Linked DNA regions of Xenopus tropicalis. The protein of the gene in region 1 binds, or shares a complex with, the protein of each later gene. Links are inferred from orthologs where the notes say so. Each region holds a gene or a part of one and is shown on either strand. Other genes may lie near its edges.

Region 1 (4,210 bases):
GTATCCAATTATGTATCAGAGGAAAAATGGCCACCTGGTGAAAGCTGCTATTTGCTTTAGGAAAATGTAATGGTTCTGGCAAGCGGAGGGGATATATGCAGTACACATGATGCCATTTGGGTGGGGGAGATGTGCCCAACTGATATACATTGTAGGTAAATGTAGGCTTTACATGTCCTTTAAGGATATTCAGTTTCACTTTTTAATAAACATTCTTTGTTTGCATAAGACCGGCTTCAAACAGTGTGGCTCCTTTGAACTACTGGATTTTTGCTTGATATGGTTCTGCACCGGGGCACGGCTCCGACGCCTATGCATAGTACAAGTCAAATGGGATATATCCTGAATGAAAGTATATATCCCCGTTTTGGGTTTTCACCCCTTTAAGAGCCATCATGGGGTTATCCTGCAGGGAGGTGTGGGCTGGACATCCATGGGTGTTTTAAGGAAATGAGGAGCTGGTAAAAGTGGCTAAAAGCAGGAGCTGTTTTGTTAAAATCCCTGAAAAACCAGCATATTAAATCTCCCTTCAAACAGGAAGTTGAATTTGATGGACATGTCTGGAGTGACCTGCTTCTGTGGTGCAACGCCACTGTGCTCCCCCCAAAACTTCACAATATTATATAAAATACTTACTGAACATCTGCAGTGTGGTCAAGATCTGGAAGAGAACATTGCATAAATTAGCTTTTCATTAATAAAATAGGTGCTTAATTATGAATTTTCTTTGTTTAGGATTTACATAATTTACACCAGGAATTAAAGGGCAATATAACGGGATAATAAATAGGGTTTACATTAACTTTTTTCCTTTTATTGTTAAGCAGCACATTTGCTTAAAGAATAAGTAAACCTTTTTTTATCAGTAAAATTACTCTAAACAGCCTCCAGATTACCTACCTTTGTCCCAGCATTCTCTCTGACCTGGTTCCTCAGTTAGAAGTTAATAATTTTTCTTTGCTTCCTTGTGCAGAGTGAAGCCCCGCCCCCACTTCCTGTTCAGGTTTCAGCAAAAAAAAAAAAAAAACCTGCTAATGCACAGACTGCCTCCAGGCATGCCCGGATTTGTGGAATGGCCACAAAGGCCCGGGCCTAGGGCAGCACAAGTTTAGGGGCGGCATGCCGCCCCGCCGCAACAGAATTTTTAAATTTGGCTCCCATACGGAGCAGTCGGGACCTTTCCCCACTGCTCCGTATGGGAGTTTAAATGTGCGATTGCGCATTGATCGCGCATGCGCACTCAGGGGGAGAGGGCGCCGCGCGATTGCGCATGCGCACTCGGGGGGGGGGCGGAGGCGGCCTCGGGGCGTCGCAAAGTTAAATCCGGCCCTGTCTCCAGGTCGACTACAGGTAGTCGAATTAAAGACAGAACTGAACTGGAAGTGGGGACGGGGCTTCATTCTGCACGAGGAAGCAAAAAAAAAAAAATGATCTATGAATTCTAACTGAGGAACCAGATCAGAGAGAATGCTGGGACAAAGGTAGGTAATTCTGGAGGCTGTTTAGAGTAATTTTACAGATAGAAAAAAAAAGAGGTTACTTATTCTTTAAGAAGAATATTAGCTCCCTATCCCTGTTAACACAGTGTTTTTAGTCTGTATTAGTCCAGCCCCATTTTGAGTTATTTGTATATATAACTGCTATTAAAAGCAGTGTTTGCCTGTCCAGCAGATTTTACAGACCTGACTTGCTGGAGGAGCCTGACACTTGCAACATTGTTTAAAAAGTAACAACCAGGAGATCAGCAAATGCTGCTTTCTATAGCAATTACAGTTACAAAAAACTTTTAAAGCACTAATCATTTTTAATAAATAGATATTGGAAAGTTACTTAGAATTATGTTTTCTTTTATAAGGCAAAACATTATTTTTGGGGTTGACATGTCCTTTAAGATACTTACCTCAACATGGCTTAGATATTAACAAGTGCAGCTATTTTTTTATTATTACAGAAACAAAAAAAAGCAAACCACTCAATCAGTATTTTTTAAAAATTTGCATTCTTGTATTAAAGAGCCTTCTGGATAACTAATTTCTGTATAGCAGATTCCATATCTAATTACGAGTGGGCGATATCGGGCTAATTTGATCGTTTGGCCCAGGGGCCAAGCGATCAAATTAGAGCTATGGGTATAGGCGCAGTCGTTGTTAGTGCCCATGCATGGGTTGATAAGCTGCCAAAGCTTTACTCATCAGGCAGAATATAGATAGAGATAGGGTTGCCACCTGTGTGACTTTGAACCGGACAGAATTCCAGCCAATTGCATAAGTTATACAATAACCCTGCCCCAGGCTCAAAACCCCACAGACATCATTGTGCCCACCTCTGATGTAATTGTGCCGACCCCCAATGCCAGCTGCCCAATCTCCTTTGTTCGGGCTTAACCCCCACCTAGGGTGGCAAACCTACATGTGTTGCCCATTTAAGCCACCAATATGTGGTAACATGACAACGGTGTACGACAGATAGAAACTGGTAATAAAAGTAAAGTTATCCCAATATCCATGTTCACTTAATGTTCCGACAAATATCAGTCAAGCGCTCCTGAACTTAAAGTTAGGAAACTTCAGTGGCGAGATACACGACTACAAACGGCTCATTCAAACTCCACTAGCAGTTGCATTAGCACTGTAATATAACTCTTACATTCGTAGTTCTTGTTTACGGGTGGGTACTTTGCCTTGACAGCAACCTGCTCTTCACTTATTGTATAATAGCGTTCGTCCATCTTCTCAGGTGCGCAGCCTCAAGCCTATTAGCCTAAGCGTCTTCCGGGAGACTGGGTTCCACCAGCCTGTCACGTGTTCCCGGCTGAAGCAATTGTAGAAGGGTCCATTTTGTTTCACTTCCGTAACTAGAGATGGCAGTGTGGTGCCCGTGTGAAGGTGCTATCAGGGCAAGTTGGACACTCCTTTTTCTTTCGGTAGCTTATGGCAGAAATCATAACATTAAATCGTTGGGACAGTATGTGCTCGTTAATACCAACACAAGGAAACCTTCCTTGATCACATGACGCCTACAGCATCACTGCCTTACCGGCTGTTACTTCACTTCCGTGAATACGGTCCCTACCGACTGGCACCACGTGACGTCCCATGCACTCTTGACTGGCGCGCACTTGGTAGACACCCATTGATGACGTAAAGTGTCTTGATTGGTGATCTATGCCGTTTCTGCTACGGTTCCTATTGGGTCTTGTTGGCGCGAAGGTGTGCGGCTCCGAGACACGGGGGAGGCGGGAAACAATAGCGGGAGGAACAGGCCCGGGCACTGAGGGGAGGAGTCAGGGGAAAAACCGGGGAAACGTGAGCTAAGTTGAGGACTCTAAGAGCAAGTTGAGTCTCGCAAGCGGTAAAGTCTCTGCTCCTGGATTTACTATGGCTGATAAAGAGGGTAAGTATGAGCCGAGAGTAAGGGACATCCTTTTGGTACTAGTGATTGAGGTACGCGGGAATCTTGAGGGCATTGAGATGTGGGTCCTTTACTTCGCGTCTACCCGGTATACTTGTGAGAGGCAAATGCCACCTTTCTTAAAGTGCATTCTGACTCGAGTGTTTTTATGTGCGCAGCTGCGTTTGATGATGCGGTGGAGGAACGAGTTATAAACGAAGAGTATAAGATATGGAAAAAGAACACCCCTTTCCTGTATGATCTGGTGATGACCCATGCCTTGGAATGGCCTAGCCTGACTGCCCAGTGGCTCCCAGATGTCACAAGGTGATTCCCATAGTAACACTTCTTTTTTTAACTTATTACTAAATCTTATACTGTATGGAAAATATAGCTTTAACTATCTGCAGTTATGGGGACTGGAAAGCTGTACTCATTTCGGGTTTCTTAGTGCTGTGGAACATTAGTGTGGATCTTGCATTTATTTTCAATTGTAAAAAAAAGTTGTCTCTGTGTAGATAACTGATAATAACCAGTGCCAGTGTTTGGAATTTCAGCCCCAGCAGTAGATGCTGAATAGTTTAGTCCAACTTCTGCTTCACAGCTTTTAGAGTTCATTTCAAAGTCTGTATGTTTCAATTAATTAAAAGAAAAATGGAGAAATCAGCTATTTTCAAACTGGTACTAGAATATATTGCCAGGATAACAAAACAGCTGAGGGACTGAATTGTAGACATTTCTGTATATGGAAGGTTTATCAATGGTGGTATAACCTAAAAATGAAAACTGGCGGCACAGGCTTTTTCGCTGTAGCCTTCAT
Region 2 (7,967 bases), on another chromosome or scaffold:
CGTGCCGAGGTCAGCCCAATCCTGCCCACTACCCACAAATGGTGTGCCGAGGACAGGCTGATCCCTGGGTCCCTTGGGTATCAGCCCAACCTGCACATCACTAGCTCAGAGGATCTCTCTGAGTAAGTTTATACAAATTCATTTTTGGTGTTTGGGTCCCCTTAATGGTACTTTGATTCTGGAGCAACTATACACTTTGCCATAAAGCAAACAAGAAAGGAAACTTGCCTGAGTGCCAGGAAATGAATTCCTCCAGGCTTGTGCAATATCACTTGCAGTACGAGGGGTTTGTCCCTACTGTACATAACATTACATACGGACACCATTCTGACAGCAGTGTCCCTTTTTTACAGCAGCACAGCTTCATTTTAACAATCAATTTCCGCAGTCACTAATACAGGTATGGGATCTATTGGCCAGAATGCTTGGCACCTGAGCTTTTCTAGATAAGGGATCTTTCTGTAATTTAGATCATCATACCTTAAGTCTAAAATCAATTAAATAATAAATAAACCCAATAGGACTGTTTTATCACCAATATGAATGTATGCAGCTTAGTTACCATCAGGTACAAGCTACTGTTTTATTATTACAGAGAAAAAGGAAATTTTTCAAAAATAAGAATTATTTAATTAAAATGGAGTCTATGGGAGATGGCCTTCCTGTAATTCAGAGCTTCCTGGATAATGGGCCTCATACCTGTATTATAAAGTTAAAATGTAGAACAGTAGGAGTCACGTACATGATTGTGACCATATAAAATCAGAAGAATACAGAAGCCTTTGGTACAGGTCACAGAACTCTGAGGCCACTTTTATATTGCGATGCAGAATAGGAGCCCAGGCTACCGACCCAGGGTCTGAGATAAGTCATTCTAATCAAGGGGTGGAGGATATCTAACAAACCAGCCCCCCTCACCAAGTGAATAACCATTCCCCTTGTGCCTTGTACATGGTATTATGCTCTTAAAATATAAATGGTATTGTTTGGTGTTACTTGTTTAGTCCTGTTATGGCCTCATATTCCTACAGTGGGTTTCAGATATGGTCTTGGAACAACATGGCCTGAATGGTGTGTTATAATAAAAGAAATGATCTCTGACATAAAGGTATTACTGAACTGCGTTGTTAAAGAGCAACCAAAAGCAAATCATTTGATGCTACTTCTCCTTGACTGGCCAGAAATGGCTATTAACTACTTTAGTTTACTAAGAGCATTATAGATTGTTTGTAGGCACATGATCCTTGAATATAATGTCCCTTAAAATCGATATAATAAATACATTATTGCCTTTATACAGGGACAGCTATTGTTTTTGTGCTTTTTTGTGAATTTGTGGCTGTGGTGGTGCAAGCATTAATTTGGGCAGTTAGAATAAAGGGAATTACTTGTGTACGTAATGTAGACTCAATGCCAGGAAGTTACAGATGTTGGTGATGGGTAAAAAGCCTCCACGCCACAAGATGAATGCACTGAGGGATAAGGAAAGACAGGAGAATGAGACATAGGAACATCCTGTAACAAACCAGAGTATGGAGACACTGGCGGAACAGTCTGTGGGATAAAATCTACAATAAGGATTATATCAGCAATATCCTTTCATTTTTACAGCGTAAAAAACCTAAGTAAAAAGGGTTGGGCTGAACTACCCTGTCTCACACATATAAAATATAGGAGAGATCCCAAAGAGCCTTCACAGCACAAAACGGAGTCCCTGCATAAGTGACAAGTCCCTCTCCTCCTGCAGTATATCCACGAGACTTCCTTAATACCACCTTTGGCCACCACGTCCACCATAACTGTCACTATAGCTGCCACGGTTGGAATATCCTCCTTTGCTGTGGTATCCTCCTCCACCACCTTTCCCGAAATCTCTTCCTCCTGCATTATATCCACCTCCTCCTCTTCCAAATCCACCTCCTCCTCTCCCGCCTCCTCCTCGCCATCCTCCTCTTCCTCCATCATTTTGTCTTTTTTGCCATGGGGGCATCTCAGGAGGTGGGGGGTCAATTTCAGAAGGTCTCCCTCCTCTGTCTGGCACTCTGCCCATCAGGACCTGTATAAAGGGTAACAAATTTAGAGTATTGGAACATACAGGTACAATGGGACAGCCTGGTTCACTTATCGGTCTTGTACTCTACACAAAATAAGGAGAGTAGTAGTCAGCATCAAGCCTTGTGATTAGTTAGAAGTAGTGCAGGTTCCCCAATGGCCACTTTCCATCGGCATATCCTGGTACAGAAGAACAGGAACAGCACCTCTTGTCTTTGTAGATTTGTACATTTGTACATTTCAGGTCACATAAGACCTTTTATCAAGCTGCTTGATAAAAGGTCTTATGTGACCTGAAACGTTGCTGCTGTTGTTGTTTGCCCCAAAAAACTTTGCAATAAAGGCATTTTAATCTACAAAGACAAGAGGTGCTGTTCCTGTTCTTCTGCACAAAATAAGGAACATGACCAAATGGAACTTTAGTAATATCCGCAGCAGCCAACAGAATGATACCATAAAACTGAGCCAGCACAGGAATTCACCTGCAATAAACACACAGCAATAAAACAAGCGTTTGGCTTCAAAGAAAATATTTCTGTATGGAGCACATATAAGTAGAATAGTAGCTCAAATTAATACATTGCATTCTTTGGTGTTACTTGTCCTTTAGTCATGCATGACTAAACTGCTTTTTAAAGTGAGTAATTTCAACACACTTCCTTGCAAAAGCAGCTAATTTATCTCTATAGATATTACTCATTATAATGCACCCACTAGAAGCTATATTATTTTTTAAATATAAGGTGAGATAGACTCCTCATAGAATCTGAGACCCTAAGAGTCCTTCTCTTATGTGCAATAGGCCTAAATAAGAACTCCCTAAATCTAGTGAAGCAATAACCGGGTATACTTTAATGTTACCTTCCAGTAATTATAGTATAATGCATGGGAATACACAATTCTGCAGAAGTAAAAGAACTACCATCCATAGACCCACTGAAACAGAAAACAAAAAAAGACTAACTGGTCAAGAGAAGTGGTGAACTGCTGCGTGGCTTCCAAACCAATATTATTATACTTTAATTTCATGGTGAATTACCCCTATAATCTGACTGGACCTTTCCACGATGGGAATGGACCATTTACCTTGTTTATTGCACATGTTGTCTTCTCGCGGATCTTTCCGCTGCTTGTGCGGATGATTCTGGAGAGATCCTTGCGGGCAGCCATAACATGTGCTAGTGAGACTGTGGATTTTGCAGATAGGGAGTAGCGAAGTGGCTGATACACACGGGCAATTTCATCTGTTTTGGACTTTGGGAAAGAGAATGAAGTTAGTCTCCAAAAAGAATTCGTACATTTGGCTATGTAAAATAACATGGAACGATTAGTGCCAGAGGAGGACAGAATACTACCATAATAGTTGTATCTATTCCACAGCCGCACCACTTTTGCCCAAGGCCAGAAAAGGCACCTGGCTAGGGCACAACGCTGCACTGGGAGGGTAGGTAATTGTTCTGCCTAACCCTAGTCAGGACTCTCTCGCCCCTGCCACCTCTTGTCCCTGTGTGCCCCCCCAAACCCATAATGTTAGCACTCCTGTGTGCGTAGGGGGGGCGAGGTGACCAGCCTCTGCCCAAGCCCACCTCAAAGGTCTTTCACTGAAATGAATGGCACAATGGTTAACACTGCTGCCTTGCTGTGCTGGGGTCCTAGGCTTGATTCAAGCCTATCTGCAAGTAGTAGGATGGGTATGTATGAGTCTTTGTGGGTTTCCTCTGGGTACTCCCAAAACCATACAGGCACGTTAATCTGCTACTAGTAAAATTAACCCTAATGCGTGCGAGTGTGATAGGGCCCTCAGAATGTAAGCTCCACTTGAGAATAAATACATTTATATATATTAAAATTAATATTATTAATAAAAATCTGTATTACATTTCTTTTTACAAGCCAAATGATCATTTTTGAAAAGTGCTGCCACCAACAGGCCTTTAGCTGTATGGCACATTCACATTACAAAGGCACTAATTACCTTGGCTCTGTCTGACCAACCAAATGACTGCACAGTTACATCCAGACGTTTTATTAACAACCTACGCCGACACTCATACTCCTTACAGAGAGCTGCATTGATTTTTTCCAGGCGCTCCTGTAAGGACAAGAACATGAAATTCAATTAAATATGCACCACTGAGCAAAAGCTGTATTACTTTTAGCTTTCATACAGAGCAGTCCATAACCAAGATTTAAAGGGGAACTGGGCCTGAAAACAAAAGTATAGTTTTCATATATCACACAGAGTACTCACACAGACTTTTTTTCAGCTTTCTTTTAATTCCTATTTACCATTTTTAGAATTGTTAAAAAAAAGAATTATTTGTTTGTTTGTTTTCGTCATCTCATGTTTCCAACTAGCAGCTTGGTAAGCCACATCCCTGAATTTCTAAACTGTTACATTTCATACATATAGTTTATACCTTTCTTAGCAGCAGATGCTTCAGTCCCTTCTGAAAACACTCCTTTTGTAAAAGTTTCTATCAGGGCAACTGAATACATTAGTTGCTGCCTGACAGGTCTCTGATGCTGCCGAGAAATTTATCACTAAATGTATCAAATGATAGAAAAGGGGATTCCCAAAATTCCAATTTTTAAAAAAAGGTATGATGAATGGGTGTTTATTCAATACAGCACTCTCTGGGTACTGCTTTCGAATGAATTCCTATGGCATTAACACTTGGTGACCCCACACACACAGCCTAGACCCCCAAAGTCTGGACACCCCAAGTTTAGAAAGTTGGCAACCTAACTTACAGAGTTCATTGGAGAAGAAGGAAAAACTAAACCAATTTTTAAAAAATACAAGAAATAGAAACTGAATAAAAAGTTATTATTTCTGCTGTATTATGTGAAAGTCTTGTCATTTTTCAGGCTTTTTTTCTGTCAGGAGCATGTGCAGTTAAAAATGTATCAGTCCTGACCGGTAATCGCCAGTAAAGGATATCAGTCTTTGTGTGATGCCCCCGTGCGCTAGCCTGCATTTTATTTATACTTGCATTTTATGCCAGAGGGGCTGCTGTAAGATGCCATAGACAGTCACTATTTATTGGGCTGCTGAGGGGCTGTTTGGGCCTCTGTGTACTTGAAATGCCAGGGTCTATTTTGAATCCCAGTCTGGAGCTGTGGGACAGTATTGGGCGTCTGCTGTGTTATAGTTCAGGAAGTCTCTGGAGGAAGCCTAACACTTTCATTCTCCTTTAACACTCACAACAAACCTTCTCAGTTGCTTGTAGTTCACAGCCAACCCAATGTGCCAAATGGTCCTTTAGACCAGCAGTGTCTTTTGATTGATTTTGTGAGCAGACAATGCCAAAGAGTGTACTAAGACTTCCTTAATGATTTAATCTATTGTTATTGTATATTATATAGCAAATAATGTACCCCCCTATTGTAAAATACTATAAAATATTTAAAGTCACTGAGGAGTTTCATGACCATATTAAGGTATGAGGCCTAAGGCTGAATGCTTTTATACAGGTCATGAAACTCTGAAGTGACTTCTAATATCTTCATATTTTAAAACATGGGGTATATTATTTATTATAATATACAAGTTTCAGTGAGAAATTACATCACTAACCACCATTTATAAGGATATAATATACAGGATATTCATGGCTCTTCTGTATTATATTACAGTAAAATTCATTTTCATCTATGGTGTATTGCCTATGCAATCTGAATTGCCTGACAATTAAACCCTGACAACAAAGTGCAAAACATTTGTCCCACTATTTGCTAAACCTTTTTACAAAAATGGCATCGTAAAGGGTTGCCTTACCAGCTGTTCCACGTTCAGCTCTGCACTAAGCAGTTTTCCCTTTAGTTCACTGTGATTCCCTTCAGAAAGCACATCTGTAATCTGCAAGAATATGGATAGACTGGTGTAAGGCCTCAGCATTCAATAGATAAGTAAAAGCAGCCAAACAAACTATATGTAGAAGTGAAGCTATCCCTATACCTTTGCTTCCACAGTTTTTAACATGGCCGAGACATCAGATGAAGGCTCTTCAGGTAAACGGAGAGCGCTGCAGATGGTTTTCACTTCTTTGTAGGCAGCATCAAGTGGATCCACCTCGCTCTTTTTCTTTTTCTTTATGATCTGCAAGGCCATAAGCTCTGTTGCTAGGAACACTGAGAAAAAAAAAAAACCATAGTTGCACCATTAAAAGATGAAGCATTACCTCAGGATATCCTATTGCAGTGGACAGAGGACTTAAAATAGTGTTAAGCCACTGGACCAGAGTACAGTATACAGTAAAGGCACTACTAAAGCATCGTAGGACACACTTAATAAAGAATCCAGGTTTCAGCTCAAGATGTAACCAAACAGACTCAAAAGAATTATCTGACTTTAACTTTAGTGTATGACTTCTGAATGATGGTTCAATAAAGGAAAAAAGCAGGTAGCCTCTAACATAAAGAAAAACAATTAAAGTATAGAAATAAGTGTAGCGCCATCTGGTGTACATAAGAAGCACCATTATGCCGCATTCTGCAATTATAGATGCCAATACTTTTAAAAGGCACTGAATAAAAAAAAAAAAAAAAAGTTCAGGAAACAAGAGAAGAAAAAATTGAAGTGTAGGTGCCCAGCTTTAAACTATAATTGGCTAAGAGCACCCCACATAAAAGGCGAGGTAACTTCAACTGTACTGTAAAAATATCATTGCACCCAGCCATATTACATTTATATCTGGGAGGATGTTATGATGCATTAAAGTCCCATTAGTGGAATGACAGGAAGAGCGAGAAACACAAAAAGGGGACAAGCATGTTTTCTTAAAAGAAAAATGGACTAGTATAGACATACATAGTATATGTGAACTATACCGAATTAGGGGAGGAAAGAGGGGTGAAATTGTATTCGATAAGTGGTGGATGAATGATTGGGGAAATGCTTTGGCAATAAATTTAAGTAATTTCTCCTAGGAAATGATGGGAATATTGTTTGTGAATATACAGGGTTTCAGAAAAGGTGTGGGGAAGGTATATGAAAAGGCAGCCATTAAAAAGAGGAGGGTGTAAAAAGTGAGTGAAAAGAGAAAAAACAGAAACTGAGAATTTTGCAGACTGTTGTGTAAATGTATTTAACAGGAATTGTGGTCCTGAGGGTCATTTATCAACACTGGGCAAATTTGCCCATGGGCATTAAGTCATGGCAACCAATCAAATTGTTGAATTCATTGTTCCACCCCCAACTGGTTGCTGTGGGTTACTGGTCACATGCAAACTTGGCCAGTGTTGATAAATGAACCCCAAGTTTGTCTACTGAAGAAAAAAGGATTGTGGGAGGAACTGTTGGGGAGAAGGGCATAGGGAGGCTGTGATTTCATAAAGATGATTGTGAAGGAGGGCAGTAGAATGAGAGGGGAGGGTGCAGAAGCCAGGGTTGATTAACAGCATGTACAGAGGAGGAAGAAGGGACAGTAAAACCAGTAGACAGTGATGCAGTGTTGTAGAAGGAACAATAAATACGATAACAAAATTGCAGAGAGGACAGCATGTAGATGGGACAGAGGAGAAAGTAAAGGCAGGGCAGATGGAGGCGGCAGATGAAGGAATATTAAAGTTACCCAGGTTTTTGACTCCCTCCCCCTGGCCTCCTGTCAATATAGGTGATTCCCCTTGTTTTTTTTAGCTTCTCCAGCTAAATTCAGAGTAAGCAGTTGCAGAATTCAGTGATATCAGAGGAGTACACGCACAGTGAACATTCAGGGGCTGCAGACATGTTTGCGCGCATTTGCAGCGATGTTATTAGAATGTGGAAAAATGTTGCCCCTGAAAATATGTAGCCCCGGAGTTGACTTCTCTGAAAGTGTCCTTTTTATGCTGGCCCAGTAGAGCCCAAGGGATGTTTTTGGACATGAAAGCCTGAAAATAAATGAATATGTAAAGGGGATCTTTAAACTCCA

Evidence for each region. The genes of interacting proteins can lie anywhere in the genome.
Region 2: zbtb8os (region 1) and fam98b share a complex: the UniProt entries of both Homo sapiens proteins name them as parts of the tRNA-splicing ligase complex. The link is inferred for Xenopus tropicalis from reciprocal best matches to the Homo sapiens genes ZBTB8OS and FAM98B.

What each region holds. Positions count from the first base shown.
Region 1 is NC_030678.2:90,313,902-90,318,111, reverse strand, and holds the start of zbtb8os (protein archease), read right to left. Parts: upstream 2,801-4,210; 5' UTR 2,729-2,800; coding exon 2,647-2,728; intron 662-2,646; coding exon 637-661; intron 1-636. Other genes in the region: histone-binding protein RBBP4, read left to right, coding at 3,378-3,393, 3,570-3,717. UniProt on the Homo sapiens protein: Component of the tRNA-splicing ligase complex required to facilitate the enzymatic turnover of catalytic subunit RTCB. Together with DDX1, acts by facilitating the guanylylation of RTCB, a key intermediate step in tRNA ligation.
Region 2 is NC_030684.2:110,765,668-110,773,634, forward strand, and holds the end of fam98b (protein FAM98B), read right to left. Parts: intron 6,187-7,967; coding exon 6,014-6,186; intron 5,915-6,013; coding exon 5,834-5,914; intron 4,145-5,833; coding exon 4,028-4,144; intron 3,307-4,027; coding exon 3,139-3,306; intron 2,057-3,138; coding exon 1,766-2,056; 3' UTR 541-1,765; downstream 1-540. Other genes in the region: decreased expression in renal and prostate cancer protein-like, read left to right, coding at 52-104. UniProt on the Homo sapiens protein: Positively stimulates PRMT1-induced protein arginine dimethylated arginine methylation.